2 linked regions of the Drosophila melanogaster genome follow. Changing the gene in region 1 together with any one later gene gives a genetic interaction. Each region holds a gene or a part of one and is shown on either strand. Other genes may lie near its edges.

Region 1 (9,428 bases):
TCCGTATCCACATCCACATCCGCATCCAGTTGGTATGGTATGGTACGGTCTGTCCTGGTCTGGTGGTGTCCTTAGCCGCTGTTTGCTTTACGGGTTTTAATCCGAAAATTAAGCGCGAGCTGAGCATTAAAATTTGCGACCCATTCCGGAGGGAGGTTGCCCCTTCAACGGCGCGACGCCGACTGTTGTTTCAAGATAAAAACTTCATGTGCGTTGGAAAAACACACGGGAAAAGAGCGAAGGACCGCAAGTGTGGGGGGTGGGTGGGTGCAAAAGTGCACAGAGAAAAAAGAAAAGGGGTTCTGCGAGGAAAATAATTTAAGTATATAGTACGGCGATAGTACGGTTAGGTAAATGCAAAGGTTTATTTTAAATTATGGAATAATAAATTGAGATTTTTTGAAAAATCATATACCTTTACAAAACACAATTGAACAATGAGATATTTTTCTGTTATACTTGCTGTATAGTTCAATAAGTTTATTCAAACGACTGAACCTTTCGATGAAAATAAAATTAATAAAATGATTTTCATGCACGGATTCGAATGAAATGTTCAGCTATCCTAGCTATTTTCTTTAGATTCAACCAGATATATTTTTTTCAACACACAATTCTTCGAGTGCTGAAACATTTTGGCAGGAACAGGAGCAGAGCTCTTATCGTTGTGGCCCCGGCATATGTTACGCACATTTACAGCGTATGGCGATTTTCCGCTTTCCACGGCCACGGCCACAGCTTCCCACCTGATAGGACAGCTCGGCAATGTGTGGGAATCGCAGTGAGGTGCCGGTAGGAGTGGCAGGTAAGCCTGGCCGCCTCGCAAGTTTCTCACACTTCCAGGACATGTGCTGCTTTTTTGGCCGTTTTTCCCCGACTGGTTATCAATTGGCCGATTGGAAATTCCCCGATGGCGATGCGCTAGCGTGAGAACATGAGCTGCGAGCATCGGGTTTTTAGCATATCCATACCTGTGGCTCGTCCTGATGGGAAGCGAGAAGCAGCAGGATCGGATGTAGGATGCAGGATATAGGGTATAGGCGCTGTTGCGCCTCACCCGCAACACCCACATTAGCATCGGACCAGCGTCCAGTGTCCTGTTAATTGCTTTATGGACTCTCCACTTTCCGCTGCGTGGGAATCTTTGCTCATCCTACCTGTTTCCATGCCACACCAACCCATTCCCACAGCATTGTCCTCCTTATGTGAAACTCTCTAGTTCAAGTTCAGTGTGAATATTTGTGTTGACTTTATTTTTAAACTTTTGGCCATTTGTTTTCAGTTTGCTGTTTGCCTGTAACCAGATTAAGGTCAAGTTGCTTGGATGGGCTGGGATTCGGCTTGAGATCCGGTTCATTGAGTTGCCATTCGAGGCATGAGTCGCATTTTTATACGCTTTCCGGGAAAAGATCGTTAAAGTTTGAGTTTCATTGTCGTGAAAGGGGAACTTTTTTAGCCCTAGGGTTTATAAATATAATTGAAAAAAAATTTGAAATGACAATTTATTTAACATTTTTTTAATTTTCTGTAAAATATTAATCCTAAAGATGTGCACATTTTACGATGATTTCATACTATCTAGCATGTTTTGATTACATCTTTGTTTCCTATATCCAGAATTGAGATTATTGAAACAAACGCTGATATATCAATGGCATATTCCCGTATTTATGGCTATATGAAATGCTGTAATGTTCAAATGGAATAATGGCTTATATCCTGAATAATTTTGACCCACTTACGGCTCGTAAACTATCCTATTAAATGGATTTGCCGGCATATGATATCCAACCCTCTGGCTGACTCCTGTCCGCATATTGTACGCTAGTCGAGTCAAATATGGCAATCGCGGCCTAAATGGGAACGCCTCAGTTTTCCCCTATTTCCCCTGGAATTTCCACTTCGCCAACGGAGAAAGGGAAGCAACCTCACTTCAGACGTGCATGTTGGCACATTTGCGTTGCGGATTAGCGCGGAATACTCTTTAGGATTATGATCGTTGGGCAAATCTGTTGCTCCTGCGAATGCGTAACGGATGTCGACAATTCCCTCAATCTCTGACTTTTGACAAATGTTTCATTTCTTGCTGCTAAATGGATGCAAAGTACTATCAATACAAAGGAAACACTTTATTGGAGTTTTGGCTTTGATTTATTTTTTAATTTTTTATCATAAATTAGCTAAGCTCTAGTTATTCCAATATACATTTAGTTGAAGTATAAAATTTGAGGTATATATTGCATTATATGGCCATAAAAGACGTCGGATTAACTTGCATATCTAACATTTTTGTGGGCAAATTAGCGGCAAAACTAAAAACATTTAAGATACGTGACCTAAGTCAATAAACTTGTATTTACGTGCGAATTCCAGCCATTCGGTACATTTAGGTAAATGGCCAATTTCTTTGAGAGTGACAGAAAAAGTGACTCGATGGAAAATAAAGCAGCAGGAGTTCCAATGGCTTAGATTTTGCCAAAACTGCGCCAAAATCACGTTCGAAAACTATCAATGGCAGGATTCCGGCTGTGGGTCATCCTCATCCTGGCTGTGGATGTGTGTGAGTGTGGTGCATATAAATTTCGCCACCTCCTAAACTCTCGTTTTGTTTGGCAGTGTGCGTGGGACATCATTTGGGTATTATGTGCTCGCACAGACACCAGAATATTTGTGTGTGTGTCTGTGTGCATATAGATATAAGTGAAACTCCTGCGGTCGGCAAAAGTCAACCTGTTGAATGCAGGAGTCACTTGGAGTGAGATGGCAGCTATTTTCGTCTCGCCATTCGGCAAAAATGATCTGAGCAAATTAGTAACATTGCGAAAAGTCAATTGCCCCGGGTAAACAGGTAAAAATCCAGTGCAGCCAATGGCAGGTTGTTTTCTCAGGATCAGGTAACAGATCCTTTTCGGGATCAGTTGGGAAACTGTTAAAAGTGCTTGTGCCGCTGGAAAGCGGCTCAGTTGCAAACAGGTGATTGCAGGGATATGAGCAAGTGCTGAGAAGGTGCTCGCAACAGTCTCAAAGCAGGATCTATAAAAAAGGATATCTTTAAAATGACTAACCATCGGCGAGTGCGCAAGGATTGCTATGAGAGCAGATTGCATGGTCGGTTGTGGTTTTTGGCAACGAAATATATCAACGTTCATTTTTTTTAGTTTGTTACCAACTTTCTCCTCTGTTACTAAAAATGCTTTTTGGTTATTTCGATTTTTGCAGATATAGCCAAAACGTGTGCCATGAAGGAGAAAAGCAAAAATGCGGCACGCACGCGACGTGAAAAGGAAAACACGGAATTCTGTGAATTGGCCAAATTACTGCCGCTGCCGGCGGCGATTACTTCGCAACTGGACAAGGCCTCCGTCATCCGGCTGACCACGTCGTATTTGAAAATGCGCCAAGTCTTTCCCGATGGTAAGTTCAATCGGAAAATCGTCCTGCGGAAAAACTCACTTGATTGGCGCTCAATTTGTCGCCGCTCTTGGCTTTTCATCTCGTGTGAAATGCGCCTTGTGGCTACACGGCAAATGATGCGGAATCTTTGACAGCCACGCGACCGACACGCTCATTATAATCCAAGCTCGTCATATCCTCGCAGCAGGACATGCTCCTTTGTTTTCACTTTAACTCCAATGTACTTGCAATGATTTCATTTCATTCCATTTTACGCTGCCAGTTTTCAAGTTTAAGCGGCTATGTTTGTTTAAAGCATATGTTGGCGAGAATCGGCCAGGGAAATAACAGGGAAATAGCACTCAACAAATGGGCAGACAATAAACAGCAGGATGAAGTGGGCGGCTGGTTGGGGTTGGCGAAAACACAATGGCGGCTGCTTGGTTGTTTCACTCAAAGAGCAGCGAGAGCCGCACTGGAAAACCGAACTCGAACATCTCCCCCCCCCCCCCCCCCACACACACACACACACACACACATTTCCCGAACTTTTCCCCACCGACCATGTGAGCGTGCGCCACTGAGATTTTCTGCTGACAAAGAGGGTTGCTCGAGAAGTGAGTGGGTGGGTGGTTCGTTGGTCGGTCGGTTGGTTGGGCGTTTGACGCTCCCATTGTTGCCGCACCGTTTTGTGCTTTTCTTTTCAGCCTTTATTGAAATAATTATTTTAATAATAGGCAACAAACAACGAGATCCGGACGGGCCAAGGAAGTGCCAGTGGTATTATGTACAACACAATATATGTTGTATATATGGTGCGAAGTCGATGAAAGTCGGGGGGGGTGGGCCAGTGGGTGGAATGGTGGGCTGTGAATGGGCCACCTACGGCGCTCGATGACTTTAATTGGGAATAATATTTAGACGTCAGCAGTGGCAAGTAGGGCGTGTGCTGCCACTGCCACTGCTGCTGGTGGGAATTTTGCGAATTAAGATACTTCGAGCGGATGACAAACAATTAATTCAGGACATTGGGGCGGATAAGACAATAGAAACGGGAGCTTGACATAATACTAAATCCAAGTCCAATCAAACGGAGACAATAGAAAGGACAGCTTAAATATAAAACTATATAAAAATCATTTAAAACGGAATACAATTTGATTGTATTAAGTAGCAAGAACTTTTTAGATTTCATTTTTAAAGACAATAAAACATGTTTCATAAATCTAAATCTTATTTTGTAGGTCTTGGCGAAGCCTGGGGCTCATCGCCTGCCATGCAACGCGGCGCCACCATCAAGGAGCTGGGCTCCCATCTGCTGCAGACGCTGGACGGATTCATCTTCGTGGTGGCTCCGGATGGCAAAATCATGTACATCTCGGAAACGGCCTCCGTGCATTTGGGCCTCAGTCAGGTGAGTGTCGGTGAATGGATCTCTTGTCCTGATTTATGCGCATAATTTGCCGGGCCACCTGAATTTGCCTTTTTGTATCCTGGCCACCACTTGCATTTGCAAGTCAATGGGCTTGAATGGTGCAGGTCACCCAAGTGCTGTGGCTTCAGTAAAGACGATTCATTTGCATTTGCCCACTAATTGGCACTCAGTGCTGGTGGAGCAAATTAACATAGCTCCACTTATATGATCAGCATAAAGAAATTAACTTTACATCAGTATAGGATATATTTTATATAAATTTAATATTTAATGGTTTATTTATCTCTTTTTTTTAACCAGGTTGAGCTGACGGGCAACTCGATATTCGAGTACATACACAACTACGATCAGGACGAGATGAATGCCATTTTGTCGCTGCATCCGCACATCAACCAGCATCCAGTGAGTAGAGCATCCGTGTTTCCACAGAGTCCTTTGAAACATTTGAAAATGTTTGCGCTCTCTTTCTTTCTCTCTCCATCTCTCTCTCTCTCTCTCACTGCCATGCATCCATCCTACTCTGACTTGTACTCACGCCACAGGCCGCCTTTCTCAACTCCCTACAGCTCGCCCAGACGCACACGCCCATCGGCAGTCCCAATGGCGTCCAGCATCCATCCGCCTACGACCACGATCGCGGATCGCACACCATCGAGATCGAGAAGACCTTCTTCCTGCGCATGAAGTGCGTCCTGGCCAAAAGGAACGCGGGCCTCACCACCTCCGGATTTAAGGTAAAGAATTTTATACATACCATTCCTTTAAATGGATTGATTGCTTATCCTTGTATTACTTGATGATTTTAGGTGATACACTGCTCCGGCTATCTGAAGGCTCGCATCTATCCCGATCGCGGGGATGGACAGGGCAGCCTCATCCAGAATCTCGGCCTGGTGGCCGTCGGTCACTCGCTGCCTTCATCCGCCATCACGGAAATCAAGCTGCACCAGAATATGTTCATGTTCCGGGCCAAGCTGGACATGAAGCTCATCTTCTTCGATGCACGGTAAGTGTAATTCAAATTTCCATTTAATTAGGGCACAAATAGATGAATAGTTCGTTGTCTGCATATTTTCTATCACTTTGTATTGAAATCCACTCGAGAAATTCCTATAAATCTTACAACATCGATTTATTGGATGTTTAAATATCCTTAATGTTTAATATCCTTAAATATCATAATGTAATTCTAAGACCAATTTTTATCCGTGTAGCCTGGTGCTTTCACAGCATAATTTTTCTCACTGCACTTAAAAAATTCTCGAAAGTATCCTTTGCCTGTTTGCCGTATATTCGACACTAGGCAAATATTTAAACGGGCCGCAGAATTCGTTTTTTACACCACGATAAAAAGTACCAGCAGACGCCCCCAAAAAGATAATGTTTTCAAAGTGGCGGAAAACAAAAAAAATAATCGAGTAGGGAAAAGGAAATGTAAGCAAGACGGTGGCGACATGACAAAAGGAAAAACAAATCATTTCCCTCTTGAGCTTGATTTTCCTTTGTCCCTGTGCGTGTGTGTGAGTGTGTGAGTGAGTGCTGAGGGGGAAAGGGGACGCTGTGTAAGTGCCTGCCGGGCCAAAAAACCAGCCCACTTTGTCTGACATTATTGTCACTCAATTACCCTCATGATGCCACACAGCATATTGCCATCCTATTCTGGCGCCCTCGCACTTTCGCAGCAAACAACCCCAAAGTGCTGAGCGGGAAATCAGCCCCTTTTTCGCCGCTTCTTTTTTTTTTGTTTTCCTGCATAATTGAATTGGAGTCGGCAAAAGTAAACCAACCGAATAAAACACGCCAGCGACAAAGGCAACACCAATGACCATTCATTCACTGTTTAAATAAGCCAGCGAAACTTTTGCCCTCGACCTCGAAACTTATCCCCATTCTCATGCTCATCCTTTTGCCTGTTTATTTGCTTACAGCGTATCGCAGCTAACAGGATACGAGCCGCAGGACCTCATCGAGAAGACCCTGTATCAGTATATCCACGCCGCGGACATCATGGCCATGCGCTGCTCTCATCAAATCCGTAAGTACACTCATCCCAATACACTGCCATAATAATTTCCATAAAACATCATTCTCATCGAGTTTGTTTCTTCTCTCCCTATCAATAGTGCTGTACAAAGGACAAGTGACCACCAAGTACTACCGCTTCCTCACCAAAGGCGGCGGCTGGGTGTGGGTGCAGTCGTACGCGACACTGGTGCACAATTCGCGATCCTCGCGAGAAGTGTTCATCGTGAGCGTGAACTATGTGCTGAGCGAACGAGAGGTGAAAGACTTGGTGCTGAACGAGATTCAGACGGGCGTTGTGAAGCGGGAGCCCATATCGCCGGCGGCTCAAGCGGCACAGGCAGCTCAAGCGGCCCAAGCGGCCCAAGCGGCACAGGCGGCACAGGCGGCACATGTGGCTCAAGCGGTGCAGGCCCAGGTGGTGGTGGTGCCCCAGCAGTCGGTGGTGGTGCAGCCGCAGTGCGCCGGAGCAACGGGTCAGCCGGTGGGTCCGGGTACGCCAGTTAGTCTGGCCCTCAGTGCAAGTCCCAAGCTGGATCCGTATTTCGAGCCAGAGCTGCCGCTGCAGCCGGCCGTAACGCCCGTGCCCCCAACGAATAATAGTAGTAGTAGTAGCAACAATAACAACGGCGTGTGGCACCACCATCATGTGCAACAGCAGCAGCAGTCCGGCAGCATGGATCACGATAGCCTGAGTTACACGCAGCTTTATCCGCCCTTGAACGACCTGGTGGTGAGCTCGAGCAGCAGTGTGGGCGGTGGCACCGCCTCAAGTGCGGGCGGTGGATCCAGTGCGTCGGCCTCGTCCTCCGGCGTTTACTCCACGGAGATGCAGTATCCGGACACGACCACCGGCAACCTGTACTACAATAACAACAATCACTATTACTATGACTACGATGCGACGGTGGATGTGGCCACCTCGATGATACGCCCATTCTCGGCCAATTCGAATAGCTGCTCGAGCAGTTCGGAGAGCGAAAGGCAGCTGTCCACCGGAAATGCCTCGATTGTGAACGAAACATCGCCCTCACAGACGACCTACAGCGATCTGAGTCACAACTTCGAGCTGAGCTACTTCTCCGACAACAGTTCGCAACAGCATCAGCATCAGCAGCAGCAGCAGCATCTGATGGAGCAGCAGCATCTGCAATACCAATACGCCACCTGGTGATCCTAAAAATGTAAATAACCAAATGTTGGACGATGAGCCTTGACTGCTACTGTACTGTTGTTTATAAAACGTCGACTGCCCCCACCCCACCATCCGTTGCAATGTTATATACACCTCTGAGTTCTCAGTTCGAAATTGTAATATGTGGCTGAGCCACACACCATCTGAATTTCAGGACCTCCTCTATGCCTCTATTTTATTTATTTAACACCCCCACCATGCATTACCCAATGCAATGCGTTCGCGTTAATTGTGCAGTGTAAAGTTACAAAGAAATTGATACAAAATGCTAAGAAATTAAGAATGCGGAATGATCGTTGTTAACAAATGCAAAAGCAAATACAAATTCTAATAATAAATAGTTGTAAGGCCTAACTGTAAACTGTTCATACAAACTAACTTAAATTAATTGCACATACTTATACTTATAACTATATAGTAAAGCGCATACACTTGGCCCCCATAATCATGCATACACATCGGATCTACGAATATACATATGTATATGCAATAATGTGTAAATAGTGCAGGGTCCGCTCCACTATGCAGTTAACGAATATGATCTTCATAAGTCAAGTAAATAATTGTAAATGTAAAATCTATTATTATCGAGAATTTTTCTAATTTGAATAAACAAATTATTACGTGGGTGAACAATAAAAAAAGAGCGAGAGTTCGATTTTTTCAAATAAGCGCCGCTGGAAGCCTCTAGAGTTATTATTTAATTTAGTAATCTTGGTTTACAAATAAAATGTTATTTTCAAAAACTAGCACCTTTATCTATTTCCATTATCTTTGTTTTAAAATTATCTATTTATATGCTTTTATATATTTCACAATTTAGCGTTTTAATCAAATTTTGTATGGATTGAAAAATGCAGCTTTGACGCAATAGCCGATTTTAAAATATTTCGTTGCATATTTTTAGGTAACATACTAAACTACACATATATTTAGTTCCTTAATCTGCCACCAGCTTACATTCTACGTATACGTATTGTAACGTATACGTATAAAAGTGGTGCGACATCTAGTGGTTTTGAACAAAACTTGATGTACTTTACAAAATGTATAATACATATTCTACAGAATTTCACCACTGTGTTGAAATATATTTTGATTCAATTGCCATAGGCACCCTGTGTCGACGGTTATTTAAATTAGATTAGAAAACTAAAACCAATTAGCTTTTTACAAATTAAAAAAGAAGCTTTTCTAAATTTATTATAAAATAAAATAGTATTGAATTTTTTTGCTTGATGGATTTTACTAATTTATTTCCATTGCTAGTTTCTTTTTCTGTATGTCTTGACCTCAATTTTAATTAATCATTCACCTATAATGCTGCATATTTTTCCACCATTCAATCCTACTGAAATCAAATTAGAAAACCCTGGATGCTTC
Region 2 (6,820 bases), on another chromosome or scaffold:
AAAAGGTGACTTGATTGTTTTTTTTCCTAGGATGATATTGCGAAATATTATCAGCGATTTGGGAACAATACTGATGACAATAACTGACCCCGGAAATAGTTTTCTATACAAACAGCTAGACTGTTTTCCTTCAGTTCCCCAGAAACGGGGCAAAACAAAGGATGCACAAAACGGATACAAAAGTTGCAGGAATTGTGCAACATCCATGACAGAAGTGGAACCGGTTTGTATCAGGTGAAGCCGAAACGGAAGTCGACAGCACATGTGGGCGTCCTTCCATTTCTATAGAGTTTTTCCTTAGAGTATCCTTGGAAGAATGGCTCGTTTTGTTTCCCTAATGGTCTGAGCTTGGGATGAGCCGAGAGGAGAAATTCCCGAGACATTTTGGCCATTTCTTGTCGCATAATCACGCCCGTATATGAAAAGCGGATATGATGGGATTTTATAGCCTTGTAAGAAAATGTTATCTAAAGTGCCATAATAATAACATTACTGTTCGTTCCCATTTCATAGATTTCTTTTCATTTTATGCAAGTTTTTCCACGAAAATGATTTCATTATCCCTAGCTGGACCTGCCATCCCCTAACTTTTCACATTCTATGAACATCAAACGATAAGTGCGCTATAATTTTTCATTTCTCCAAATCAAAGCGAAGCGAAGAAGGCACCAGAAATTCAAAGCAGAGAAAGGGAAATTCGTGAGCATGCCAAAAATGCTCTTAACTGGAATGACATGTGAAAAGCGCCAAAATCTGTGAGGCGATCAAATGGACACGTACGTCAGGAAGCAGGAAAAATCAAAAAAGAACTCTTGTGGGTGGAAAATGGAAATGCAAAATGAACAAAGGCCAATCCGAAAACGTGAGAAAATTCAGTCAAAACGATTCATTTTATAACTGCCGACGCCAGATGGTAGGCATAACTCCAAATGAGGGGGAAAAGAATATATAACTTGCAAAAATGATACGATATATATGCCATATCAATAATTGAACGATTCAATCAACTGAACAATAATGGGAATGTAACCTCATTTGCCTTTTATATTCGTTTTAATTTTTTCATTATCATTGAATCCATTCTGGACATTGTCAAGTCTTACATTTGCGCGATTGTTCCTGAATTTAATTAAAAAAGAATGAATGACAAAAATTATATTTGCGGAATACAACAAATAAAAATGAAACCAGCTCCCCAAATGACAATTGAATGAAAACAACAACAATCAACAATCGAAAACAACAACAATGCAGGAACGAACAATAAAACGCGAGTCTTTCTCTTTCACCGCGGAGAATCGGTGAATTTCGAATGGGTTAAGCGGTGAGGGTGATTTCTGGCGACAGGATAATGGTTAATATTGTATTCGAATAATAGTAATCACGGCACAACTTGACTCATCTCTCACCTGCCATTATGCGATCAAATTAAATTTACATTTATTTAATTTTCAACTGCACTCTGATACTGTATTTATACTGATAGATTTTTATCAGATAAATATCTGATAAATAAAATGTTTTTCAGTTTGCACGGCACCATAACAAAGAAAGAAAATCTATTATTAGCTTAAGTAATTATTAAATTAGACAGAAAACATATTTAGAGTTTATTTATCCAACTACGAGTATTAGAAGTTTATCATGAATTATTTTACAACTTCCACTAATTTGAACAATATTCTTAAGACAATTTTGATTGTCACTATTCCGCAAAAATGAAATTAAAAATGCATCAGCTAGCTTATTTATTTATTGAATTTGATAGCAAAACACATAAAGAGTATATGTGCTAATAATTTAAAACGTTTATCCTTATTTGTTTTACTCTTTACACTTATTTTAACTGGATTCTAAAAGAATATTTATTTATATAAAATAAGGAATTCATCATAAATTGTATCACAAATGTAACAATTATTTATGCCGCATGTGGGTGGGGAGCGATTTTAGGAAACAGGATCCTGCATTCATCCTACACTGTGTGCTATTATCACTCACTTAGTGTCCTCGTCTGCTAAGTGAAATGCTGAAAACTCAGAAAGAAAAATGTGACGCGGACAAAACTTTTTCCATTACACAACGTACAACAGTTTTTGCTTTCATTATTATTTGAGATTCGTTGTTGTTGCCGTTCTACGTTGTCCTTTCTTCCTTTTTTGGGGAAAGCAGACACAACGGAAACGTTGCGAACGCTGAAAGCTTTTTATGCTCTTACGCTATGGGCCAGGTATAAGAGCTTTGTAAATGCAATTGGAAATTGCACTAAGCTTTGGTGCATCGTTGTGTGGGTGCGTGCATGAGCAGGAGAAAGGCAAAGAGAAGGGTGGGATAAAAGCTCAAAGGGGAGAATGGTTTTACTTTTGGGGTTATGGAGTTTTAAAAAATATAATAGAATATTGCAACCTTATTCCTGAAAGAAACATTTTTATTAAAACAACGGCTCTTGGGGTCAAGATGTTGTTTAATGAAGCAATGTTAAACTCTTACAATCTTTGCATCACAAAAGCCATAAATTATGTCTTCGTTTCGAAAGAGAGGTAAATATGTGTGTTAACAAGAATTTGAAAACTTATTATTATTATTTGGGAAACTCTTTTAGTTACGAATGAAAAAAACATTAGTTTGCGGTAGATTTAATTGTCAATTATTCGATTGCCCTTGTCCTTTCAATCAACATTAAAAGGTTTGTTTTCTTTTGCTACTGCTTATTTGGTAAACCAAAAAGAAAAGCTGGCTAAAACATCTTTTCTATAATAAAGCACAGAGGACCGTTCTACATGCATCTGGGTGAAGATTTGCCTCACTTCCACTGGCTCCTTTGTGGGCTTCTTTCTATGGCCAAATAAGTAAATAATTGCAGTAATATCCTTTCTGGAGCGGCCAGGAAGAAGTGGCAAAAAGGGAACGGAAAAGAATGGAGAAGAATGGCGAGCGAAATGAAAGAATGCGAGAATGGAGAGCGGGGCAAGAGAATGGAAAGCGTGTTTCCATGTCCTTTTCACAAACTAAAAAGTCCTTTCACACACACACATAGTACTGACTACAGAGTACACATAGAGAACGGTATATAGCAGAACACAGACACCCACAATGGACAAAAATTCACACCAAAGACCCATTGTGATTGGCCCAACAAACACGCACACACATACGCGGGGAGAGAGTTGTGTTCTCTCCCTCTCTCGTTCTAACTGCATAGGAGATGCGGAAGTGCAACGCCGCCGTGCAAACAATAACGGAAATTGTGTGCCCACTGTGCGAAAATCAATGTGCTCCCGCGCTCGCCCTGGCTCTCTTTCTCTCTCTCGCTCCGTACTTTGAGCTCCCCCTGCCCCACAGGATTGGGGTCGCTAAATCGAATAACACGAAGCACAGCCGAACGAGAGCTGCCTGGCTTTTGGCTCTATTGAGCTCCTCTATTGAACACACCCCTCAATGGGCGAACAACTATAACCGATATAAAGGAGCCAATGGAACAAAGCCAGTGGAACAATGGGCCGCAAAACGAAAGAGAGAAGACGCTATGTGTGAGTGAGAGCGCGACGACGGCGCAGCTCTCTCCCAGGTAAGAAGCCCAGCCTCTATCCCGCTCGCACCCACGTGGCTTACGTAAAGGTAATGGTGCGAGGGTTGCTCGCACTTCGTGCTCAACTCTCTTCCGAGAGAAACGGGATTTGGCTGCAGTCGTGTAGGCCGCACTGGAACACTACTGAAATCAGTCACAAAAAAGCAGTCGATCCGAGCAGAAGCAAAGCAAGAGCAAAGCAGAAGCAAAAGCAAGACAGTAATTGACATAGAGACAAAGAAAAAATCTGAGAAATCACAGTTGAACCACAGACATATTGTGTTCTAGAAAGTGAAGTGTTGATCTTGAAAGAAGCAAAAGTTAAACAAAGTGTTCAAAATAGCTGGAATGGCCACCTTATCGACACACCCCAATTACGGTTTCCATTTGGGTCAGGCCCAAGGCTTGGAGGACTACGCACCGCAAAGTCAGCTCCAGCTGAGTCCCGGCATGGACATGGATATCAAGCGTGTGCTGCACTACTCCCAAAGCCTGGCAGCCATGGGCGGATCGCCCAATGGACCCGCCGGCCAGGGTGTGAACGGATCCTCGGGCATGGGTCACCACATGTCCAGTCACATGACCCCGCACCACATGCACCAGGCGGTCTCCGCCCAACAGACCTTGTCGCCCAACAGTTCCATCGGATCCGCCGGCAGTCTGGGTAGCCAGAGCAGCCTGGGCAGCAATGGCAGTGGTCTCAACTCCAGTTCGGGTCACCAGTCCGCCGGCATGCACAGTTTGGCCACATCGCCGGGACAAGAGGGTCACATCAAGCGTCCAATGAACGCGTTCATGGTCTGGTCCCGCCTGCAGCGTCGTCAGATCGCCAAGGATAACCCCAAGATGCACAACTCTGAGATCTCCAAGCGCCTGGGTGCCGAGTGGAAGTTGCTGGCCGAGTCGGAGAAACGACCATTCATCGATGAGGCCAAGCGCTTGAGGGCCCTGCACATGAAGGAGCACCCGGACTACAAGTACCGGCCACGCCGCAAGCCCAAGAACCCACTGACCGCTGGACCCCAGGGTGGACTGCAGATGCAGGCCGGCGGCATGGGTCAACAGAAGTTGGGAGCTGGACCGGGAGCTGGAGCCGGAGGCTACAATCCATTCCATCAACTACCGCCATACTTTGCACCCTCACACCATCTGGATCAGGGTTATCCAGTGCCGTACTTCGGTGGATTTGACCCACTGGCTCTATCGAAATTGCATCAATCCCAGGCAGCGGCGGCGGCGGCGGTCAACAATCAGGGTCAGCAGCAAGGACAAGCCCCGCCCCAATTGCCGCCCACCTCGCTGAGCAGCTTCTACTCGGGCATTTATTCCGGCATCTCGGCACCTTCGCTGTACGCCGCACACTCCGCCAATGCCGCCGGACTCTACCCATCCTCGTCCACCTCCTCGCCGGGATCTTCGCCCGGAACCATCACGCCAAATGGTATGGATGGTTCCATGGACAGTGCCCTGAGGCGACCGGTTCCGGTGCTCTATTAGAGTCGAGTTTTAGGTTAGAGTACAGAGTAGAGTACAATTGTTGACGCATTCCCAAAGTGATCCACTGGTTTTAAATCTTCAAAAGCTCTAAGTAAGCCAATCCTCCAAACCACTCCGCTTAATTCTAGTACAATCTTCGCGCACTTCAGATCTAGAGAGTAAGGAGGGAACACACAAAACATTCCTAGCCAATACACAAACTATAAATTATAATTTATTTAGCGCACTCACTATACCGCAAAGAAAATTAAAAAAGATAAACCTAATTGTAAATTAATTTTATTTAGTTTTAAGCATCGAGCGAGCGCCTCCTTCTTGTTGTTTTTTTTCGCATCAGCACCTACCTAAAATGTAGCTTATAGTTTTAATTGTCTAACCCTCTCAAATTGTAAATATCCCTGCAACTATTCGTTAAAGTCTCAGTGTAGCCCCAAATGCGAGGAAAGAACGTACATCAATGTATTATTGTATTATTAATTGTATTGTAAAAGTTATCATCTAAGCGAATAATGGTTCATGAAGGCCAACACAAAACAAAGACATTTAAAAGTGAATAAAAACAAAATGATTTGAGAAAACCAAATTTGAAAACCTGTTTATTCTATTTCAAATAATTTACAGCTTGGAAGATGTGAAACTGGCAATTGGTTTTGAAATGAATGATGATGATTCTCTACCAAATGTAATCACATTAAAGACATAGGTAGAGTTGTTGTGACTGGAATCAGACGAAGTTATCATATATATATATATACCGGGAAAAAGCTGAAAAACAAAAAAGATAATTTTAAGCCTTTAATAGAATGCATTTCCCATTTTCTTAGCCAGCATACCACATTTTACAGTTATGTTATAAATTTACTTTAAACATATGCCCAAGCTATATGTGACTTAAATTTTTCAGCTGATTATATTTTATACTCCATAATTGGATTATCATATTTAAATTCGAATTTGTGTCTGTATTTTTCATAACCTTTAAGATTATACAGGGTCGTGCTCTGAGCATGCATCAAAATTATCAACGAAATTAATAACGAATTTGAATATTCATAAGACCATTAACATAATATTCTCAACTGGATTGAGTGAGTCATTCGGATAAAGCTTAAAAACAATCATTTCATCATCACCTAATAATGGGTATGAATTTTTCTGTTTTGTGAGTAGTATTCGTTTAATATCAAAGTCCTATCCCGTTTCTGATCAAATTAACCTTGTCTCTGGGTGTCTTTACTATTATTTCGCTCATTTCTGTGTGAGTTTTTGTTGGTTAGTTTACACCCGCTGGGAAGAGATGAAAAAACTAAATTTGATTTGCCATTATACAACTATTTGCCGTTGTGTATTAATTTCTATTGATTAATGCGCTGTTTATTTTGCGCCTCCAAGACAGAATTCGATAGTTTGAACAAAAGGTCGTCTCTTCGCTCTTTGGATGGGGGTCACATTGTGTTTTTTTTTCGGGATCAACGGGGGGCCTGGGCCCTCTAAGACCTCACTATTCGGAGTGTAACTGAATACCCTGGCGAAAGAAATCAACGCGTGTTTTTCCGTTTTGATTTTTAGCTTCTTTTCGTAATAATAATAAGAATAATTGCGGTCATTAATAAATCCACTTGCATTGTCTTCCCCCGAACTCTGACTCTTCGATTGCCGTTTTCAAGTCTTTGGGAGTCTATTCAATGCCCTCTGCCCCGCTCCCCTTCGTTTTCCACGTTGTATGTCAAATGTGTTAAAATATCAAATATTGAT

The links.
Region 2: of sim (region 1) and D, changing one enhances a phenotype caused by changing the other (phenotypic enhancement), as found in Drosophila melanogaster (one study listed by BioGRID).

Annotation. Positions count from the first base shown.
Region 1 is NT_033777.3:13,069,443-13,078,870, forward strand, and holds sim (single-minded), read left to right. Parts: upstream 1-2,956; 5' UTR 2,957-3,056; coding exon 3,057-3,108; intron 3,109-3,219; coding exon 3,220-3,414; intron 3,415-4,637; coding exon 4,638-4,807; intron 4,808-5,128; coding exon 5,129-5,230; intron 5,231-5,370; coding exon of another isoform or gene 5,371-5,394; coding exon 5,395-5,562; intron 5,563-5,634; coding exon 5,635-5,834; intron 5,835-6,756; coding exon 6,757-6,863; intron 6,864-6,951; coding exon 6,952-8,024; 3' UTR 8,025-8,682; downstream 8,683-9,428.
Region 2 is NT_037436.4:14,174,435-14,181,254, reverse strand, and holds D (dichaete), read left to right. Parts: upstream 1-2,634; 5' UTR 2,635-2,686; intron 2,687-2,762; 5' UTR 2,763-3,916; coding exon 3,917-5,065; 3' UTR 5,066-5,645; downstream 5,646-6,820. UniProt on the Drosophila melanogaster protein: Essential for segmentation and CNS development. May modulate the actions of other transcription factors, including gap and pair-rule proteins.